4 linked regions of the Arabidopsis thaliana genome follow. The main gene of each other region encodes a partner of the protein of the gene in region 4 in a complex. Each region holds a gene or a part of one and is shown on either strand. Other genes may lie near its edges. The genes, in order: TIC40, TIC55-II, Tic22-IV and Tic20-V.

Region 1 (6,749 bases), about 17 Mb from region 4:
TGTGAAAATTTGCTTTTTGATGCTGCTCTATGATGATTCTTTTTGCTTTAACCACACTGAAAAGATGGGGTTGAGAATGTGATTTTGCTCTTCTTGATTCAAACCAGAGAAAGATTAGATTTGATCTCGGAGTTTCTTGATGACACTTTGATCTAAGTTGCTTGAAGGGGATTCTTTTTCTCCTTTGTGGTTTAGATTAAGGTAGAGAGTAATGTCGAGCTCTTATCAACATTTTTCATGGTTTGAGGCTTGAAGAACATTCACGTTTTTCAAGCTCACTCATGTGGACAACCTTGGCCCTTGTCTGAGAAGCAGCTTTTTCTCATATTCAGTTTTTCTAAATTTGTTGTTTTAAAAAAAAAAATTGGTTTGTTTTTTTGGCTGTTCTATGATGATTATATTGCTTTAACCACACTGAAAAGATGGGCTTGAGAATGTGATGTGGTTCTTCTTGATTTAATCCAAAGAAAGAGTTCTTGAGCTATATGTATTGCTTGATGACACTTTGATCTAAAATACTTGAAGGGGATTTGTTTCCCTTTGTGTTTTAGATCAAGGAAGAGATCAGTGTAGAGCTCTTGTTCGATATTTTTCTTAGTTTAAATCTTGAAGAACATTATCATTTTCTCAAGCACTCATATGTGGAATCATTGTGCCCTTTGTCTGAGAAGCAGCTATGAATTCTGTTTTTGTCTTCGATATTGTTAAACGTAGCTGATTTGTAAGATTACTTTGTGATCTTTTTTGGATGCTTGATATGTATCCAACCAAGAGTGGGTTTCTTCTTACAAAGATATTGAGTTAGGAATTTTAATGTCATTTTATGTTCGAATTGGGGAAAATTCACAAAAAATTGGGAAAATAGAAGAGAGCATTATTCGATGTTTACCACATGGTGGAATAATTTGACAGAACAATGTACTTTGGGAATGACATATGGAACAAACTGTGTAAACCAATTTGATGATGAAGGTGAACGAGTTACATATAGGAGACTTACACTTCCATAATAATATTCAGAAACTATATGAAAGTGTATCTTTCTTTATTACTAAAACTCTTTTCTAATAAGAAATGTGTAAACTATGTAACTCGGCAACGGTTCCAGACTCTCTAATCCTAAATCAATGTTAAAGGCGTAAGGCTCTTGAACCTGTTCATTGTGAGCTTTGAACTAAGTATTCAATTTTTTGGACAATCCGAAAAACACAACAGTATAACTACAAATGGATTAGTCCCATTTGGGCGTAGTCTCATTCGTTTGGACGAGAAACACAACGAAAAACCTAGCCAATTTTGTTGTTCTCATGTATGGGCTTAATTGGGGACTAATCCATCTGTGGTTCCCCTTGTTTCCATAGTTCGTAATTTTATTCGTTTTTCGTCTTAAGTTTTCCCTTCTTTAGGTTTAGTTTCCGGAGATATTTTTGTTTTCCGCCGGCTTTGTGTTTCAAATTTGTATTCCACCCTTTGTATTTCACAACCTATAATACAATGGAAAAATTCTGGATGAAAAAAAGAAAAAGAACACAGTATATAGAAAAATCTGAATCACAGTACTAACATCATTGATTTTCTGCTACAAAAATGAGTGTACACTGATTCTTAAAATAGATACGGGCTATAACATAACAAAAAGAAAAAGTGGGGGATGGCTTTTGCAATAATCTCGAAAGAGTTTCTCACTCACATCACACCCTTGGTTTATAAATAAAACTCATTGATCTTGACGGTGAAAATATCGCCACCTGTTAATTTGTAAAAAGGTTTCAGTACACTTAGCTACACTGGATCCAAGTCTAGTGCTAAACTCAAACCTCGTGGTTTTAGACCAAAATCTCTTCTTCTTCGTTTCCTTCTTCCTCATCATATCTTTCATCTTCTCCACCAGAATTTGTTTTAGGCTCTCCTTCTTCTGTTTCTTTTTCTCCCAAAGAAACAATTAGATATGGAGAACCTTACCCTAGTTTCTTGCTCAGCTTCTTCTCCAAAGCTGTTAATTGGATGCAATTTCACTTCCTCGCTGAAAAACCCTACTGGGTTTTCTCGTCGGACTCCTAATATTGTCCTCCGGTGTTCCAAAATATCTGCCTCTGCTCAATCTCAATCTCCCTCTTCGCGTCCGGAGAACACTGGAGAAATCGGTTAGTTTGCAAATTCCACTCGACACTCTATTATAGCAAATGCCAAAATTTTCCGGAAAAATTTCCAGTTTATTACTTTTATCTATCTTATTGAAACTCAAATTGCGAACCCTTTTCGACTGGTTTAATATGAGCTTATGAATTGCTATATCTCTTAAAAAAATCCACACTTTGTGAATTTGCAATTTGAATTCTTGTAGAAACCATTCATTGTTAGAATTGTTTACTTTAAGTTTATGTTCGATTTGCAGTGGTTGTGAAACAGAGAAGCAAAGCTTTTGCAAGTATATTTTCTTCGAGTCGTGATCAACAGACAACTTCTGTTGCTTCCCCTAGTGTGCCTGTGCCACCACCATCTTCATCAACCATGTAATTTTCCTGGTTTTGGACAATGTGCTTAGTTTGTATGTCGTTTGATTCTTGGTTATTAAATTGTGTTTTTTCTTTTTTCTTGTAGAGGATCACCACTTTTCTGGATTGGTGTTGGTGTTGGTCTATCAGCTTTGTTCTCATATGTGAGTATCAAGATTCCTTCCTAATTTTTTTTTCCTCTATAAATATTCTTTCTTGCTTCAATATTGATTAATAAGTGCTTGACCTTTTTTCTTTTCTGATGGCATTGCAGGTAACTTCAAATTTAAAGGTACAGATACTTGGCCCTCTGGTTTTACGGGACTTTTGTTCTCTAGTCTGTTGCAGAACCACGATTTTATGCTTCATGTCAACTCTAGTGTATTGTGCTCATGTATCTGAGATAGTTTTATTCACTAAACTGGTTATCTTAACAAGGTGAACTGTTTGCTCACACTTGTTGAACCGTTTATATAAGCATCGAACTTTTGCCTCTCTTTTTTTGGGTAGTCACTTGATTCGTAGATGGTAACCTACATACCATTATGGTTTTAGTGATGCAACTCAGGTATTCAGACTTATAGTCATTTTCGCAACTCCAGTATTTGATTGAAATATATTATACAAGTTGTCATTGCTTTCTCTCATTATTCTCTAACCGGCTGTTACTCTCTTTGGATTTTTTTTTTTGCTTTGGTTTAGAAATATGCAATGCAAACAGCTATGAAGACGATGATGAACCAAATGAATACGCAAAATAGCCAGTTTAATAATTCTGGATTCCCATCAGGATCACCTTTTCCGTTTCCATTTCCTCCTCAAACAAGTCCTGCTTCCTCGCCATTCCAATCTCAATCCCAGTCTTCAGGTGCTACCGTTGATGTGACAGCGACAAAAGTAGAGACACCTCCTTCAACTAAACCGAAACCTACACCTGCAAAGGATATAGAGGTGGATAAGCCAAGTGTTGTCTTAGAGGCAAGCAAAGAGAAGAAAGAAGAAAAGAACTATGGTAGATTCTTTTTCTGTTTCAGAAATCAACGTCTTTTCATTTGTATTCTCAATTTTGACTTTCTTCCTTTCTCATTTTCCAAGCTTCTAACTTGGAAGCTGATTTACTTTTGGATGCAGCCTTTGAAGACATTTCACCCGAGGAAACCACAAAAGAAAGCCCATTTAGCAACTATGCAGAAGTCTCTGAAACTAATTCCCCCAAAGAAACTCGCTTGTTTGAGGATGTAAGTTTCGTTTTCTTTTGTATTTCCACAGCACACCAAGTGGTGATTTAAAAACGTGACATAGTTTTGCTAACCTTCTATGCTCTCTTATTGATCTCTGGGTGAAGGTCTTGCAAAATGGAGCTGGTCCGGCAAATGGTGCCACTGCTTCAGAGGTTTTTCAATCTTTGGGTGAGTTATTGAATTTCAGTTTTCATCACTATCAGCGCACTGTGCATGATTCATGATTAAGGCTACGGATTTCAATTTTATTTTATAGCATATGCCAACAATTATAAACAAAGGAAGATATGAAATTGGTGATAAAGAGGAATGAGTTGGCTTCAAAAGGATCTACTCCGTTACTTTTGTCCTTCTGCTAGTCGTTGATCTGTATTGGTATAACCATATAAGACTTGCAGGATATTACCTTGGCAATCTGTTTCATATCTCATGTGTTATGATTCTTTTTTCTTATATGCTCACGTTATTGTCTCTCTTTTCCTTATTCTAAATTTAAAACTGAATCCTGAGTCTGTCTATTGTTTACACAGGTGGTGGGAAAGGAGGGCCGGGTTTATCTGTAGAAGCTTTAGAGAAAATGATGGAAGATCCAACAGTCCAGAAGATGGTTTACCCGTAACTCATCTTCCCTAGCACATTGTCTTTAAATGCATCCATTAAGTTTATCTTTAAAACTGGTTGCTTAGTGGACATTTGGTAACATTGCATGTATAAATGCAGATACTTGCCTGAGGAGATGAGGAACCCAGAAACTTTCAAATGTAAGTCTTTTAATATTTAATCCTGCTATCATTCTTTTATTAGTCCTCATTTTTACATATTTCTAAAGACTAAAGGTTACATGACTAGCTTTTGAATGATGTAATTCGTTTATAGGTTGATCCAATGGTTATCTAAATTTAAAATACAGTTTGGTACTTATTGTCTCCGCTTGGAATTTTGTAGGGATGCTTAAAAATCCTCAGTACCGTCAACAACTACAGGACATGTTGTAAGAGCTCCATTTTACGAACAATTTAGTTGTTTCCATTGCTTTTAAGAATGTCTAAACTATGTAATTAAGAAATACTCTTGTTTGTTTCTTTTCATGAATTTAGGAATAATATGAGTGGGAGTGGTGAATGGGACAAGCGAATGACAGATACATTGAAGAATTTTGACCTGAATAGTCCTGAAGTGAAGCAACAATTCAGTAAGACAAATCTCAGTTTGTACCAAGTTAATAGTACGTTAAATAGGTCTGATACTCAATGATTGAATCTGTATTTGTCAGATCAAATAGGACTAACTCCAGAAGAAGTCATATCTAAGATCATGGAGAACCCTGATGTTGCCATGGCATTCCAGAATCCTAGAGTCCAAGCAGCGTTAATGGAAGTACGTTTTCTTTTAACCTGAATAAGAGAATTGCTTAATTTTACCCCACTTCTTTCTTCATACAAAACAGAAACCAATTACATTCTTGTTGTTGTTGCAGTGCTCAGAGAACCCAATGAACATCATGAAGTACCAAAACGACAAAGAGGTAATAATACTGCCACTTCTCCATTGCCCAAAAAGGCGATTACTTTTTTAAGAAATTTGAGGTTATTATACATTGATTGCAGGTAATGGATGTGTTCAACAAGATATCGCAGCTCTTCCCAGGAATGACGGGTTGAAAAAGCTCACGTCTTTGGTTCTATCAAAAATGTCACATTGTCTTTAGCTTTTTGTAGGGAGAAAAAAATGTTTTTTTTTTTGCAAAGAGTCTTCAGTTTTGGTCAGATCAGAGAATTGTGTACCATGTTAATCTTAAACGCGGTCGGGAATTGGAGTCGTGTGAAAACGCCGCTGCTGTTGTTTGGTATGAATATTATACAATAGAATTTGTTGTCTTACCAAAAAAAGTCTATGAAGACACTGAAGAGCAAATTATTATTTTTAAGGGAAAATTTCCAAAATAAACTTCATGTATTCAAAATTTGCTTGAAAAAACCTCAATTTTTTTTGTTTGAGATTGTGTGAATAAATCTGCCAATATTTTGTTTTAGCAATTTAAAAAATTGAAGTTTTTTTCTCGCAAATTTTAAATAGTTGTGATTTATTTTGGAATTTTACCTTATTTTTAATATCCAAAAGGAGAAGTGACGTGGCGATATCGAAGCGGTTTAATGAAGTGATGGCCCCATCTTAAAGAAATCAATGACCCTTATCGTTCCACTTCTATCGGAGTCGGAGTTTTTTTTTGTTGTTGTTGTATTCCGTACGTCGGTCGTTGTCGGGAGAATTGGCGCGTGAAATCCTTGGCTCCGTCGAATACGTCTGCCTCCGACGGCTGTGAGTCGCATGATTGAGTCGTGGGTAAGTATCCTTGTGACTTCAAATTTGTATTTCCGTTCTTTATAATCCCCTGACTCTTGAGAAAATCGAGGAGAAAAAACCATCCTTGCTTGGTATTCATTTGAAGAGTGTTTTAGTTATAAAATCGTAATGTTTGACGGTATGTGATATTCTGTGAGCATGATTATTCAGAAAGCTTTTGTCTTTTTAGTAAATATTGTCTCTTTCTTAGTCTTAGGTAATGTAACCTCAAGAACTCTATGCGAGAACATTACACATTATCTTTGGAATTGGATATTATATTGTTAAAGTTTAATCATTGATGAAAGTTGCAAAGAGTTATGATGACTCCGTTTTGGGATTGTCTTACCGTTGTCTTTCTGGTTTTAATGCTTAGGTTTCTCTTGATGAAGTCTAGAAGTGAAAGTAAGAATTGTAGGCTTGCACAAGCCTCTAGAGTAGCAGTCAACAAAGTTCTAGACAAAAGCAGCGCCCGTGGCTCTCGAGGCAAGAAGAAGCAAGATGATAACTGTGATTCCGCTAAGGTTTGTTCTTCTATTCATGCAAACAACATTATTGTTATAATGATTTCACTATGTTTACCAGGGTACTTAAGATGTTAGAAGCAACGAATTCTATTGATTGTTTTCAAGGTTTCCTTGAAGATTGTGAAGTCCGTGGTACTACTAAC
Region 2 (5,099 bases), on a different chromosome or scaffold from region 4:
TTCGTGTCAGAGAGAGAGAGAGATAGTGATGGTTGAGTCAGGAGAACTTAATGACAATCTCTTTACTCTCTTATGCATGCATCCATGAGATCGAGTCATCAATTTTACAAACAAAACAAGAATTTGAAAGTGGTGAATCCAATCACTGCATGCAGTGAATTTTATGGGTAAGAAACCCTAAAATAGTATGAATTTCTCCATTATTGTGACAAAAATCAGAAAACTTTTTTTTGTACCTTTCAGATATTTCTTTTTGAAGATTTAAAAAAATCACTCATGCTTATTGAATTCATCTTTCTTTGACTTGTTATAGTATATGTCACTTTTGCATACAAAAAAAGAAGAGAGAATCTATAAATAGAAAAATGTACAAAAGGATCTAATAATGTGCTTCAGAAACTCTTTATTTGTTGATAGTTTCTGTTGATAAGCCAATTCTTTGTCTTTCATGTCTCAGAAAACCTGAAAAGTACAAGAAATGGTGGAAATCAGTAAAAGGTTTGTCGTTTTTAGATAATAAACTCGATATAGAACAAAAATAAACAAGCAACGGAGATATTTGGATTTTAAAACCTGGGGGTCGTGGCTTTGGACTCGAATTCAATAACCTAATTAAGCAATAATCTTATAATTTCGAAGGAAACAAAACAAGCAAATTTTTTAATGTTAGGTTTAAAGCTTTGTGAAAAAATAATAGAAAAAATGTACTCCATCTTTTTCTAATCATTTTAAGTTTATTCCACTTTAATTTTGTAGTTTTTTTTTTCTTTTCTTCTTTATTGACTGATATTATAAATCACAAAGTTCAGGATGCAATGATTAAATTTATTAGATTACAATCAATGAGTATTAGTTTATAGTTATTAAAAATATTTAATATAAAAAATAAACAGTCATAAAATAATGTTTAATTTTTAATGTGTGTAAAATCCAAAACATCAATGCTTACGGAGATTTCCTTAAGATTAATAAAGTTGATTTTTATGTAATAAGAAACAAAATCTCATTAAACTTTAAAAGTAAAAAAAATAAAAATATGAAGTGTCACTTATGGTAGTAGTATCCAAAACAATAAGTTAATGGATTTGTTTCTAAAGAAAAGAAAAACACTATAAACAGAGGATCCTCACCATCAACTTTCACTAATCATCACAACTTCAACTTTTCAATACTCAGATTAACAATGGCTATTTTCTCCAAATTACATCTTCTCTTCTTCTCCTTCATCATAGCCACATGTATACATAAAACATTTCCAACATTTTAAGATGACTACTTTGATTTAATAATTTATCTGATAATTTTTTTTTGTTGTCCGTCCTAGTAATTTTTTTTTAATTGTATATTCTTCAAGGTACAATTTCTATTGTCTCCGGCACCGTCTTCACTTTATCAAACCGCTGCAACTTTACTGTGTGGCCCGGAATCCTAACCGCAAACCGCACACTACTCCGCGGCGGCGGATTTGCCTTAGCTTCAGGTTCTTCTGTAAACTTAACCGTTTCTCCAGGTTGGTCTGGTCGAATCTGGGGTCGAACGGGCTGCAACTTCAACGCCTCTGGTTCCAGAAAATGTAAAAATGCACCGGTGCAAGAGGAGCACCACCAGCCACACTAGCAGAATTCAGAATCGGCTCCTCTGGAAAGAAATACACCGTACAAGATTCTTACGACGTGAGTCTCGTCGACGGTTACAACGTTCAGGTGAAAATCACACCACAAGGTGGCTCAGGCAATTGTAAAACCGCGGGATGTGTTTCGGACGTGAATGCCATTTGTCCAAAAGAGCTACGCGTTAACGGCTCATCGGGTGTTGTGGCGTGTAAGAGTGCTTGTGAGGCTTTTAACAAACCGGAGTATTGTTGCACCGGCGCTTTCAGTAAACCGGAGACTTGCCCGCCGACGAAATACTCGAAGATATTTAAAGGAGCTTGTCCCACTGCGTATAGCTATGTGTACGATTATGCTTCGAGTAGATTTACATGTACTAGTGCTAATTATGTTATCAGTTTCTGTTCTTAGGCATAGTATAGCCTTTTTTATTGTTATTATTATCAACAATGAATAAATAATTAATCACTATTAACATAGTTTTATGTTTTTTTTTCATCACTATGAAATGTATTAAAGCAAAAAAGACTAATGTTAAAACTTAAAAGATTAAAAATAAAATAAAAAGAAGTTAAAATGACATTTAAATAACGTAAAAATAAACGACGTCGTTTAGCCAAAGTTTCTACTATCTATGTATGTGGTGGAACGAGGTCCAATGGTTGAACAAGCAACCTTATGATATATTTTATGAGAAGAGGCAAACAACACCTAACATTGGATTCGAGCTCTCTAGTGAAGAATCCGCCATGGCTGTTCCATTTCTAAGCTCTTCTCTACAACTCACACCCACTTCTCCGATTCTCTTCACTAAAGTAACACCAACACCAATAATCCACAACCACAGATCAACATGCACTATACCCACAAAGCCTCGTCTACGTCTCCTCCGCCGCTCCGCCGTCGCTGGAACCGCCGTATCTGATCAAACAGAAGGAGGTGGAGATGTTCTTTTAAACCCTGAAGAAGAGAAACGTGTTGAGGTGGCGGATTATGATTGGACAGAGGAATGGTATCCATTGTACTTAACTAAAAACGTCCCTGAAGATGCGCCTCTTGGCCTCACCGTCTACGATCGTCAAATTGTTTTGTATAAAGACGGTGAAGGAACACTTCGTTGTTACGAAGATCGGTGTCCTCATCGGTAAGATAAATCATCTAGCAAAACCACAACCACTAGTTTTGTACTTTTGTTTAGGAATCTGAAATTGAGTTTTGTCTTTTTTTTTATAAAGGTTGGCTAAGTTGTCTGAAGGACAATTGATTGATGGGAGATTGGAATGTTTGTATCATGGTTGGCAATTTGAAGGAGAGGGCAAATGTGTCAAGATTCCTCAGGTTCTTTGTTTACTGATTTTTGCTATTTCGAGATTTTCTCTTTACTCTGTACTTACTGGTTTTGGGTTCTGTTTCTAACAGCTTCCTGCAAGTGCTAAGATTCCAAAGGCTGCTTGTGTGAAGACGTATGAGGTGAAGGATTCACAAGGAGTTGTGTGGGTGTGGATGTCAACAAAGACACCTCCAAACCCTGAGAAGCTTCCTTGGTTTGAGAATTTCGCTAGACCCGGTTTTTTCGACATTTCGACTACTCATGAGCTTCCTTATGACCATTCCATTCTTTTAGAGAATCTGATGGATCCTGCTCATGTTCCTATCTCTCATGATAGAACGGATTTCACTGCTAAAAGAGAAGATGCTCAGCCTTTGGTTTTCGAGGTCACAGAGCGAAGTAATCGGGGTTTCGCAGGGACTTGGGGCCGAGAGAAAGAAGGTGGGAAAGGGAGTAATTTACTTCGGTTTGATGCTCCTTGTGTTCTGCAGAACAATCGAGAGTTCGAGGGGAAGGATGGAGTGAAGAACTATTTTTCAGGGCTGTTTCTTTGTAGACCTACAGGGCAAGGGAAGTCTATGCTTATTGTTAGGTTTGGGGTCACAAAAAGATCGCCTTTGGTTTCGGTGTTACCTCAATGGTTCTGGCATCAGAATGCCTGCAAGGTTTTTGAACAAGACATGGGGTTTCTATCGTCTCAAAATGAGGTTCTGATGAAGGAGAAAGTACCAACTAAGGACTTGTATTTGAATCTAAAGTCATCGGACACATGGGTCGCTGAATATAGAAAGTGGATGGACAAAGTTGGTCATGGGATGCCTTACCATTTCGGGCATAGGACCATATCTCTCCCCAAAGTCCCTCCTGTCGTGGAACATGCCCCGGCAGGGCTCATTGCAGCTCTCTCTGCTTCTTACCCTGCAAAAGGCGGAATTGGGACTATGCATGCTCCCAATTTGGCTAACCGGTACTTCAGACATATTATTCATTGTAGAAGCTGCAGCAATGTGATCAAATCTTTTGAGCTCTGGAAAAATATCCTCTCTGCCACGGCAGTGGCTTTGACGGCTTTGGCCATTCTGGTGGTTAGTAGACAGTGGAAGGCTGTCCTGTTAGGTTCAGCAGCATTGTGCTCAGCCGCAGCTTATACCTGCTTAAGAGCTATAAATCTAAACACCAATAACTTCATTAGAACACACAGAAGACTATGAAAATGTATAGTGTCATGTTTCCTCTTCTTCCAACAATATGTATTTCATGAAATAAATTTTTGCTTGTAAACGCAATTATATAATTCAGAAGGTTCCAATGTTTGCCATCAATCTTACAGTTTAACCATGAAATTTCTGTTAAACTGGTTTAAAGTTCTATGTTCTAAAACTTGAGCCATTTCTTCTCATTCTCTTTGCTTACTATAGCATTTGAGGCAGCTGCTTGACATGCTAATGTACTTGCCAATGCCTTTCGGACTTCTTTCAATCTTCTCGTCGCAGCCTCTGAAACAACTAGATCTTTCTTGTTTCTGTTCACCATCTGTTCTAGTTTCAACATTTCTAACTTCAAGTCTCTGACTTCATCTTGGTATTCAACCAAAGCTTTCCTGTCTACTGGACCTTTGTTTTGCCTATTTTTTACAGACTCGCTGTGTACTTTCTCATGGCGGGTAGGAAAAATTTGTTCATTGATTAAGCTAAACAAATCTGGCTTCGATTCCTCTTCCTGTTTCGCTGCTTTAGCTGCTTCTGCAAACTTCTTCCCACGCTTCCTTTTCCCACCTCTGCTCCTTTTCTTCTTTTGTTTCTCGCTTTTACATTCTCCATTCCTAATGTGCTCAAGAGCATAATCCAGTGACCGCTTTGCTGGAAGTACTTTTACTAAGATTGGATTTAATATCCCTTGGCCAGAGACGCCAAGACCCATCCCTTCACGGTAACCCATACTTGCCATCATCTTCGAAGCTATTCCTCTAGTATGATTCTCCCATTTAGCAAATAAGGCAGTGTCAGTTTGGACACCTCTTGGTAGATTTGTGCTTTCTAGAAAGCCTATGCCTTGTGGAGACCCTTCATCATAATCACTTGAAACAGAATCTTCAGAATCTGAAGCACTCTGTTGTTCATCCTCCTCCTCCTCCTCTTCCCCATCATCATCAGTCATCT
Region 3 (5,339 bases), on a different chromosome or scaffold from region 4:
GCTTTAACGGGAGGTTGCCTGGATATATTGGCTCTGGGACGGATAGATACTCCTTCAGCCATGTTGATGATGTTGTGGAGGGTCATGTTGCTGCAATGGAAAAAGGTAGGCTTGGTGAAAGATACTTACTCACTGGGGAAAATGCTTCTTTCAAGCTTGTCTTTGACATGGCTGCACTGATTACTGGAACCAAAAAGCCAAACTTTAGCATTCCATTATGGGCCATCAACGCATACGGATGGTTATCTGTTTTAATCTCTCGGGTTACAGGAAAGCTTCCACTTATCAGTCCTCCGGTGAGTTTCAATTGCATTCATTAGTTGCCCACATATTATAGATTATCTTATTAGGTATAGAATAATCTCAACTCTTAGTATTTTGTGATGAACAGACAGTGACAGTGCTGAGACATCAGTGGTCATACTCTTGTGATAAGGCTAAGCTGGAACTTGGTTATAACCCTCGAAGCCTAAAGGAAGGATTGGAGGAGATGCTCCCTTGGTTGAAGAGTCTGGGCGTCATTCACTACTGAAATTCAAATTTCCCATCTTTCAGGTATTTCGAAGAATAATATTCCCTTGAATTCAGTCACTATGATGAGTGATGACTACATTTTTACTTCTCCCGTTACACTTTTAACCCAATCGATTTTTATCTTGTTACAAAACTGCTTCGTTTTGATCGTGTATGTCAAATAAATGTGAAACATTGTGTGCAAATGCTGATGATCATATTTTAAGATGTTGAGCTACGTGTGAGAGTAGGAAAGAGGGAATATGTAAATGTGGGAAATAATCACATTTTATCTGCCAAGAACTATATGATTACATCTATAACATATATGATCAGAAGATAAATACTAAGTATCCATATAATTTGTTCATGATGGTTTTGATCTTTTAGGATATCCACTTTATTGTAGCTGCATGGCCGTTGGTAGTCAATCTTCTTTTCAGTTTATGCTGTTCAGTGTTCACAAAACAAATTAAATAGGTCAATTAGAGGATTATGTAGTTAGAAGCTCTCACAACTACACATGTTTCGGCAATATTAAAAAGAAACTGCAGTAGCTACCTGTTACAGTCCACAGTCTTAGAGAAAGGGACTCCTATATTAACACCACATTTAGCAGGGAGTTGTTTGGCAAAATCATCATTAATTCCAGGGATTGTATTAGCTACACTCTTCAAGCAATTACAAGCTACTTGTCTATCGGCTTTCTCAGGCGCTGCGGCTTTTAGACTATTAAGTCCGTTGCAGCACATTGGAGACGGATTTCCTCCAGCTTTTAGATAAGGCAAACATTGTGCTAAGTACATGTTTACCTGCGGACATGCTATGGCTTCTCCATGATACGCAATCCCCAATAAAATCGTAATCACAAGTAGTAACATTTTTCGGGTTGTAGTAGTAATGTTCCTCATATTTTTCAGTTAACGAGAGTTTTAACAATTTTGTTTTCTTTAGTGTGTTGTTTGCTTGATCTAGTAAGTATTTTATAAGGAGGAGAAATTTGGAGGAAAAAAATGTCATCGACATGAATTTTGAGTGACAAAAGCTTTTTGTAAGTCATGTCATGTGTTTAGAATGGTGTGGAAGTTGAGTTTAGAAAGTTAATAAATGCTTTGTCACCAAACTTTTGATCAAGGGCCATATTAAACGTAAACTAAAACCAATCAAGTCCAATAAAGCCCAAATAAAAAAGCCCAAACGAATTGCTCTGAAGCCTTTTTCTTCACTCTCTTCATAGTATCAAAAATTGCTTCTTCTTCTTCTACTTCTTTCTTCTCTCTGCAAATCCAAAAATGGAGTCATCAGTGAAACCCAATCCTTTCCTCTCCTTCTCTTCTTTCATTCACCACCAGTGTACCCGCTTCAGCTCCGACCTCTCCGCCCGAATCGAAGACACGAAACGATTCGCCGAAACCCTAGCTACTCGACGTTTCTCTCTTCCTACTCCGCCGCCTTTCGCCTCCGTCTCACAATCCAAGTCTGGAACCCCGACGACGACGTTGAGTCCATCTCTTGTCGCTAAAGCTCTCGCTGGGACGTCGGTGTTTACAGTCAGTAACACCAATAACGAATTCGTTCTTATCTCGGATCCTACCGGAGGCAAGTCTATCGGTTTGCTCTGTTTTCGACAAGAGGATGCTGAAGCTTTTCTTGCTCAGGTTTCGCTTTTTGTTGTATTTTTCTCCTCCGAACTTTTTTAAAAAAATGTGAAGTTTCTGAGCTCATAATTCTCTAATATACTCCTTTAGGCGCGACTTCGGAGAAGAGAATTGAAAACCAATGCGAAGGTTGTTCCCATTACTCTGGACCAGGTAGTTCCCTTTCCTTATGATCACTGCATTAGATCAATGTGGAAGAAGCCATTGGTTAAATCAAATGAAACAAACAAATTTCAGGAGCTCAAATTCTAAGTAGACTTGTTCATGTCTGGCCTCATTTTAGTTGTTTATATTATACGGTAATAGGAACACCTGTTGGCAGTTTGAATGAACGGGAGATTGTGTTCTTGTGCACGTAGCAATGTTGACAACATCGTCACAAGAAAGAATGCAACGATGGCATGATTATAATCCCTCTAATGGCTTGGAACTTATAAGTTATAACTACGTTTAGGGAACTTTTTGATGTTATTTGCGTAATCGTGGTAGCTACATTCCCAGAAGTTAAGATGATGTTGTTTACAGGTGTACTTGCTAAAAGTTGAAGGGATTTCCTTTCGCTTCTTGCCAGATCCAATCCAAATAAAGAATGCGTTAGAGGTTGGCTCATGCTAAACAGACTTTTAATTATATGTGTCTATAGCATTTATTTGGCATTTCAATCTTATCCATAAGCTATATTTTCTTGCGTCTCAGCTCAAATCCTCAGGAAATAAGAATGGGTTTGATGGAGTTCCGGTTTTTCAGGTAAATTGATATACTCATTTTCTGTGTTTTTCTATTATACCAATATGGATTCCTTATGTTTTGGTGTTTTTGCTTTGTTTTCTCTTGATATCTATCTGTTGTTATTGGCCTCTACAGTCTGAGCTTCTTGTTGTGAGGAAAAAAAATAGACGTTACTGCCCTGTATATTTCAGTAAGGTTGGTTAGTTTCTTCTCCCACGTTAAAGAATACTAATAGATCTCTCATAAGCCAAAACAGAGGAAGATAACTCTTACTTTCCTGTTCTGCGTGACCACTTTCAGGAAGATATAGAGAGGGAACTTTCTAAATATACGAGAGCATCAAGAGGAGATCAACAAATTATGGTAATGATTCATACCTACCTTCTATGTATTTGAATCTTCGATAGGCCACGTAAGATAGAAACAAACACCTTGATCTAAAGACATGGTTTACTAACAAGTGGGAGTAGCTAGTAGCTGTGTTGGCATCATATGTAATTTCTAGCATTTTTTGTGATTACATGTTCTGCAAACATATAACACCATGTTTTCAAAGGAACAGCGAGGGAAAGGGAAAAGTCTTAGAAAACTTTAGAAAGAGCGGAATTCAGATTGTACATGCCTTCATATATCTGAGTTAAAATGAATTCCAAGGTTTATCGTTATCAAAGTTGCATATCAGAGATCAATATATAAAGTAATTTCACAGCATTGGTTTTGTTAAGAGTTTTCTTATCTTCACCATGGAACTAATCTTTTTGTTTTGCAGGTTGGGAGTCTGGAAGATGTGTTGAGGAAAATGGAGGTACTCACGCTTCTTCTTTGTTTAAAGAAACCTTAAAGTATGAAAACCTGGTAGTCTAATAAAAATCTGAATTGAATCAATGTAGATGAGCGAGAAGAATTCAGGTTGGGAAGATGTAATATTCATTCCACCGGGAAGAAGTTATGCACAACACATGCAGGATTTGATCAAAGAGTAAAACCATAATAGACACAATGTGTGTATTTTTACTTGATAAAAAAAAAACAGCCTCTTTTGAGATTTTGCAATATTATCAATTGCCCAAAGAGCTCAACACAGTCCCAAAATTTAGTTTTCTCCTCTCCTTTTACCACTTAAACACATCATCAACATGTTACTCGTGGTTCTTACATCCAGAAAAATATATTTGGCATATACGGATACCTAAATCAAATAACATAATCTTGTTTGTTTTAAAAAGTGGAGATGTACGTTATTCATCTGTCATTAGAATGTAGTATCAGCCTAATTATTCAAAGGAGGTTGAGGCCTCTAAAATGATATGTTGGTTTAAGCTAATTATTGATCAAATTTGGTTGATATACGATTATTAAAACTAAGATGTCTTACCAATACTTATTTTCATTTTCTTTTCCTCTCATCATAATCGCTTTGACATCTCAGCTTAATGATAATGTGATTATTTTCATCCTTACTAATTGTTACTGCCTTAAAAAAAACAAGTTGAAGTAAGAAAAAGAAAAGGAGATGAGATTGTTTCAAAAGCATTGATCCTTTCCTGAAGCGTAAGTAAGCGATGTTGACAGCAGAACTAAACTTGTTGCTTGCTTGACTTCCTCCGTCGTCGCATATTGCACCTACTAACATTTTTTCTCTTCTTTATTCTTCCAACCAATTGTAGCCTATGGTCTTTTGTACCAATTTTTCAAAAGTTGTAGTTGGTAGAGGTTTTGTGAACAAATCTGTAACATAATTTATTTTCTAACATAGATTGCATCGTTTTCTGATAAAGATCATCAAATTGTGGAAATATGTAGTTTTTTTTTAGTTTTTTTTTTTTGGGCGGAAATATGTAGTTTATTATCCTACTTTTGATGACATTTTCCTTTATTCAATTGAGCTGTAACTACTACTTTATTTTATTTTTGTATTGTGTTAAGTTGTTGTATAGTCTTTATCGGAGATTACATGTTCTCCGAACTTATGTAACAGCAAGCATTCACAATTTGTCTCATTATTTACCAAGATTTGTGAATAGATAAAGTGGTAACAAAAGTCAATGTCCTGGAGCACCATTAATAGTAGAACCTTCAAATGACGGTAGATAACTTTTAATGAAATCCCTTTTGGGTTTTGCATTGGATGAGATAAAGTGATATATGTAGTAAATAAAAAGGATCCCTTACAATATTGTAATTTTGGTCCCATGTTTGGAGGTGAGAGCAAATACGTATCTTAAGGCATACGTATCGCAAACTCATGTCATTATCCAACCACAATCGTTGGCGACATATCTTTGTTTAATAATAATACATCAGGCTTGTGTTTGAGTAAAGAAAATCCTTTGACACGTCCAATGTAAACTCTTTTAGACGTTTTTTTTGTCCTACTCAAAAAAACTCAACCTCTACTTAAAGTACTAATTACCATGTTTTTGTTTTTTTCTCTACCCT
Region 4 (3,959 bases):
GGATGAGCTCAATCCCAATATGATTGGGAAAGTTAGAATAAAAGAAACTAACAATATACGAATAATTCCTAATCTTATGTTAACACTCACTAAAAAAAATGGGAGTATATATAAAATTATTAATGATGAGTGTCAATCTTAGTTTTATCCGATGGAAAAAGGTTGTTAAGTAATTTTAATGTATTTATAAATAAAAAAACTGACGAAACTTTGTGACTCGTAAAAGAAATTTTTTGGTAAAGAAATTGACAATGAACAATTGTTGTTTGGGTCTATGATCATCATCACATTCAGTACAAATCCTATTTACGATAACAATAACCACAACAAGTAGAAGAGCAAAAAAGAAAAAGAAGGACAAACACTAGATTTGGTCACAAGCTTATGTTTGTGTTTTTAACAAGCTTGGTCAATTTCGCAACTAAGAACACCTACTGATGGATGTGTGGTCTTGAGAAGTGAAGCTGGTCGAGCTACCATACTCGAAAATTTCGCGTAGCTCGGAGAATCCTCTTTCCCTGACGGTGTAAAGAAAGCTCCGTTAACCATTTCGTCTCCTTCTGATTTCCAGTTCCATTCCTTCCATTCTTCGTCTCCATCTGCACTCTCTCGCTTTGTAACCTGCGTATAGGGCATGTGAGTTTAGAAGTATGGAGCAAACATTTCCGTCTAGAATCTAATCCATATAGTAAGACACATGAAAATCAAATTTCTAAATGATTAGTCGACTATGAATTAGATTGTACTAATTGTGAGGTTAAAACGCTCTTAGTTTTGTGGAGCACATGTCACGAACGTACCTCCTTGGTGAACTGATTATTGGAAGCTATGAAAACATTTCCTTGGCTAAAGATCGTTGGATTAGCACTTCCACCAATAGCATACATCTTCCAGTCTCTATAAATGTTATTCACTATGTGAAAATATCCATGCCTACACCTACACATTGGTATTTTAAGCACGAATATTTTGGTTAGCTTATAAATTTGACATTAAAAAAAGAAGAAAAAGAAATATAAGATTGTACTAACCTTGGCATTCTTTGGACAAGTCCTTCACCAAAATAGTTAAACGCGATCGTAACTCGCATATCCCGATCACCGGAATACTCATCACTATGGCCCAAAAGCATGACTTCATTATGATTCAACATGTAACTATTCGAAATCGTTATATCCGTGGATCCATTCACCGCATCAATAAGCCCATCGTAACATTTCTCTAACGTACAATGATCAATCCAAATATCTCGAGACTCGAATATCGATATTCCATCTCCATCCGAGTATCCTCCCAACGACGATAAAGCATTCCGTTTCACGGGAACACAATCGTGAATATAAAGATTGTTTATAATAATGTTACTAACTTTATATAAAGTTAAACACGGTCCATAAGCTATTTGTACGTTATTTCCTCTACCATCAATGGTTTTGTATGAAGCTACTTGAAGATCTTGTTTTAGTTGTATTACCATGTCTCGATCAAAAATGATCCATAGAGGTTGATCTTGTGTCGCAGCGTACCGTAATGTACCTGGAGTTGGATTTAGAGGATTGTCGTCTCCTGAATCAGTCACCGTGTAGAACTCCCCGGCTCTACCGCCAATTGAGTCGCGTCCGAATCCAACCGCGCAATCCGCGAGGTTTTTGCGGTTGTCCTTCCAGTTTTCGTCGCATCTCCAACACTCATCGATTGGATTTCCATTGGCTGAGCAAGAAGACGCTGTTGAATTTGATGTCACTGTCGTTGATAGTCTCCTTACTATTGGCGGTTTAGGAATCGCAAATGCAAACGCAAAAGAAGTGTTTAAGAGAAACAAGAAAAACGTACATACAATTGACATTATATGTTGTCTTAAAAAGAGATTAAAACCAACTAACAATTTCACTATGAACATTATGTTTATAATTTGCTCCAATATATATATGCAAGAGACATTGAAGTGCACTAAAAAATAAATACGGAGGTAATTAAATTAGGTGAAAATTGAAAGAATTGGGTCCAATACAAAGGCATTACGCCGTTTTATACCGGTGGATTTTGATATTTAAATATACACAAAAAACAAAGACAATAACAGAGGCTATTTAATTGTTACCTTACTTCAAATAACTACGTACCGTTTTATCATATTAGAAAGATAAGAAGACGACACAATGTTTTAAGCTAAACTTTTAAAACAGAGTGGAGTTTAGTTTATTATCCTCTCATCATGTGTTAAGCAGTCTTTCAGTTTTGTGTGAAGTGAAACAAAAACAGAGCAAAATGGCAATAATATCTCAGTTTTTTGCTCCATTACCATCTCTCACCGGAACCCTAACCCTAACCGGTCGTTCTTTTCTCCCTCTAAACCTTGATACCCAATTCCCAAAACCTAGACTTTCCAGGGACAGAGCCGCCACACTCGTACTCCAATCCAAGGGTGATGATTCCGTCGATGCATCGGATCGGATAATCTCAGCCGTCTGTTACTTCTACCCATTCTTCGATGGGATTCAATACGGCAAATTCATCATCACACAGTACCAACCTTTTCAGATTCTCATCCAACCTTTGTTTCCCGCCATCAGAGCTTTCAAGAGCTTCCCTTTCAATGGGTTTCTTATCTTCATCACTCTCTACTTCGTCGTTGTGAGGAACCCTAATTTCAGCAGGTACGTCAGGTTCAACACGATGCAGGCGATTGTGCTTGATGTGTTGTTGATTTTCCCGGATTTGCTTGAGAGGAGCTTTAATCCTAGAGATGGGTTTGGTTTAGATGTGGTGATGAGTTTGGACAGCACAGTGTTCCTCTTCTTGCTTGTCTCTTTGATCTATGGATTCTCTGCTTGCTTGTTTGGTCTGACCCCGAGGTTGCCTCTTGTTGCCGAGGCTGCTGATAGGCAAGTCCTTTGATTCAATAATATCTTTGTATGTAACACATTTGCTGTGATTAAACCTTCTGTATTGGATCGCTTTCTGATAATCAAAACATACAATGTAACTTTTTGATCCAATGAAAAAGGTTTCTGCAAGACTTTTGCAATAGAGATAGAACAAAATGAAGAATAGAAACAGAGAGAGATTTTATCATATAACAATTTTTGATTTGATTAGTTCTCCTCATCACATATCTGAAAAAGCAATATGGTGAGGAAAGATCGATTCTGTAACAAAAGACAAACACACCAATGGGTGGTGAGTGTGTTTACATATCTGCACTCATCTGTCTAATGAAAGGGACAAAGTTGTTCCAGTTCTCGACCCTAAAGATCTTCTCATTCATTCTGCAAAACGTAAATGATCTTAGAGTGTCGCCATTCGGTTGCACACAGTTCTCTCGTATTTGCCTTAGTCCCATCTGTTGCAGAATTCATATAGAAAATGGTTAATAACCACCACTTTGACCTCAGACGTATAAGACTAAAGCATGTGCAAATAACTCACCTCATCAAATCTTTCGCTTGTGTTTCTACCAGTCACATGTATTGTCCACTTCTTCGAAACATCATGTATCTAGCAAAAGAAAATGTGATAATGCTGATTTGTTCATGTTCTTATAAGGCATGCTTAATTGTCTAATGTAGCAGCGCAGTAAGAACACAGAGACTAGACTAGTTTGAAGTGTCTCTACGGAAGTAAATAGTGCTTCAACAGTGACCGGTCTAAATACAAGTAACATACATACTTCATATGAACATAATTGAATTCTGGATCAAGGGTTTACGAAAGAAAGTACCTGTCTACGTAATCCTTCAGGGCTGCAAAGATATTTCTCAGGTATTTCACTATCTGCCATATCCAAGCAGCTGAAAAGATATGATAGATTCTCTCGTTAGTGAAACTGGACCATGCAGCTTCTGAGAATTATGTACATAGTAAAAGAAAACTTCAGAAAAAGGCTCTCACGGGATGTTGAGAGCAGCACCATGACGAGACAAGACGGAAGCTACAGGATCATAACCATCCCTGAGGGA

Evidence for each region.
Region 1: Tic20-V (region 4) and TIC40 share a complex: the UniProt entries of both Arabidopsis thaliana proteins name them as parts of the tic complex.
Region 2: Tic20-V (region 4) and TIC55-II share a complex: the UniProt entries of both Arabidopsis thaliana proteins name them as parts of the tic complex.
Region 3: Tic20-V (region 4) and Tic22-IV share a complex: the UniProt entries of both Arabidopsis thaliana proteins name them as parts of the tic complex.

Annotation. Positions count from the first base shown.
Region 1 is NC_003076.8:5,448,860-5,455,608, forward strand, and holds TIC40 (hydroxyproline-rich glycoprotein family protein), read left to right. Parts: upstream 1-1,760; 5' UTR 1,761-1,948; coding exon 1,949-2,144; intron 2,145-2,395; coding exon 2,396-2,513; intron 2,514-2,601; coding exon 2,602-2,659; intron 2,660-2,769; coding exon 2,770-2,787; intron 2,788-3,197; coding exon 3,198-3,507; intron 3,508-3,626; coding exon 3,627-3,733; intron 3,734-3,840; coding exon 3,841-3,904; intron 3,905-4,266; coding exon 4,267-4,351; intron 4,352-4,456; coding exon 4,457-4,497; intron 4,498-4,681; coding exon 4,682-4,727; intron 4,728-4,833; coding exon 4,834-4,928; intron 4,929-5,009; coding exon 5,010-5,113; intron 5,114-5,213; coding exon 5,214-5,261; intron 5,262-5,343; coding exon 5,344-5,397; 3' UTR 5,398-5,718; downstream 5,719-6,749. Other genes in the region: DNA repair protein Rad4 family, read left to right, coding at 6,466-6,603. UniProt on the Arabidopsis thaliana protein: Involved in protein precursor import into chloroplasts. Part of the motor complex consisting of a co-chaperone (TIC40) and a chaperone (HSP93) associated with the import channel (TIC110).
Region 2 is NC_003071.7:10,572,679-10,577,777, forward strand, and holds TIC55-II (translocon at the inner envelope membrane of chloroplasts 55-II), read left to right. Parts: upstream 1-2,263; 5' UTR 2,264-2,359; coding exon 2,360-2,754; intron 2,755-2,845; coding exon 2,846-2,948; intron 2,949-3,029; coding exon 3,030-4,151; 3' UTR 4,152-4,260; downstream 4,261-5,099. Other genes in the region: AT2G24810 (Pathogenesis-related thaumatin superfamily protein), read left to right, coding at 1,184-1,238, 1,355-1,510, 1,569-1,703, 1,786-2,021; AT2G24830 (zinc finger (CCCH-type) family protein / D111/G-patch domain-containing protein), read right to left, coding at 4,315-5,099. UniProt on the Arabidopsis thaliana protein: Involved in protein precursor import into chloroplasts. Part of the redox regulon consisting of TIC32, TIC 55 and TIC62.
Region 3 is NC_003075.7:16,063,182-16,068,520, reverse strand, and holds Tic22-IV (Tic22-like family protein), read left to right. Parts: upstream 1-1,623; 5' UTR 1,624-1,805; coding exon 1,806-2,171; intron 2,172-2,261; coding exon 2,262-2,324; intron 2,325-2,696; coding exon 2,697-2,771; intron 2,772-2,867; coding exon 2,868-2,918; intron 2,919-3,035; coding exon 3,036-3,095; intron 3,096-3,200; coding exon 3,201-3,263; intron 3,264-3,669; coding exon 3,670-3,705; intron 3,706-3,790; coding exon 3,791-3,883; 3' UTR 3,884-4,084; downstream 4,085-5,339. Other genes in the region: FLDH (NAD(P)-binding Rossmann-fold superfamily protein), read left to right, coding at 1-296, 392-532; AT4G33355 (Bifunctional inhibitor/lipid-transfer protein/seed storage 2S albumin superfamily protein), read right to left, coding at 953-962, 1,075-1,424. UniProt on the Arabidopsis thaliana protein: Involved in protein precursor import into chloroplasts. Imported into the intermembrane space via the Toc translocon. May be involved in the import pathway used by proteins without a cleavable N-terminal pre-sequence.
Region 4 is NC_003076.8:22,553,934-22,557,892, reverse strand, and holds Tic20-V (TIC 20-v-like protein), read left to right. Parts: upstream 1-2,242; 5' UTR 2,243-2,268; coding exon 2,269-2,898; 3' UTR 2,899-3,015; downstream 3,016-3,959. Other genes in the region: AT5G55720 (Pectin lyase-like superfamily protein), read right to left, coding at 397-621, 801-939, 1,032-1,846; BAM4 (beta-amylase 4), read right to left, coding at 3,191-3,343, 3,430-3,498, 3,722-3,791, 3,892-3,959. UniProt on the Arabidopsis thaliana protein: May be involved in protein precursor import into chloroplasts. Not redundant with TIC20-I, TIC20-II or TIC20-IV.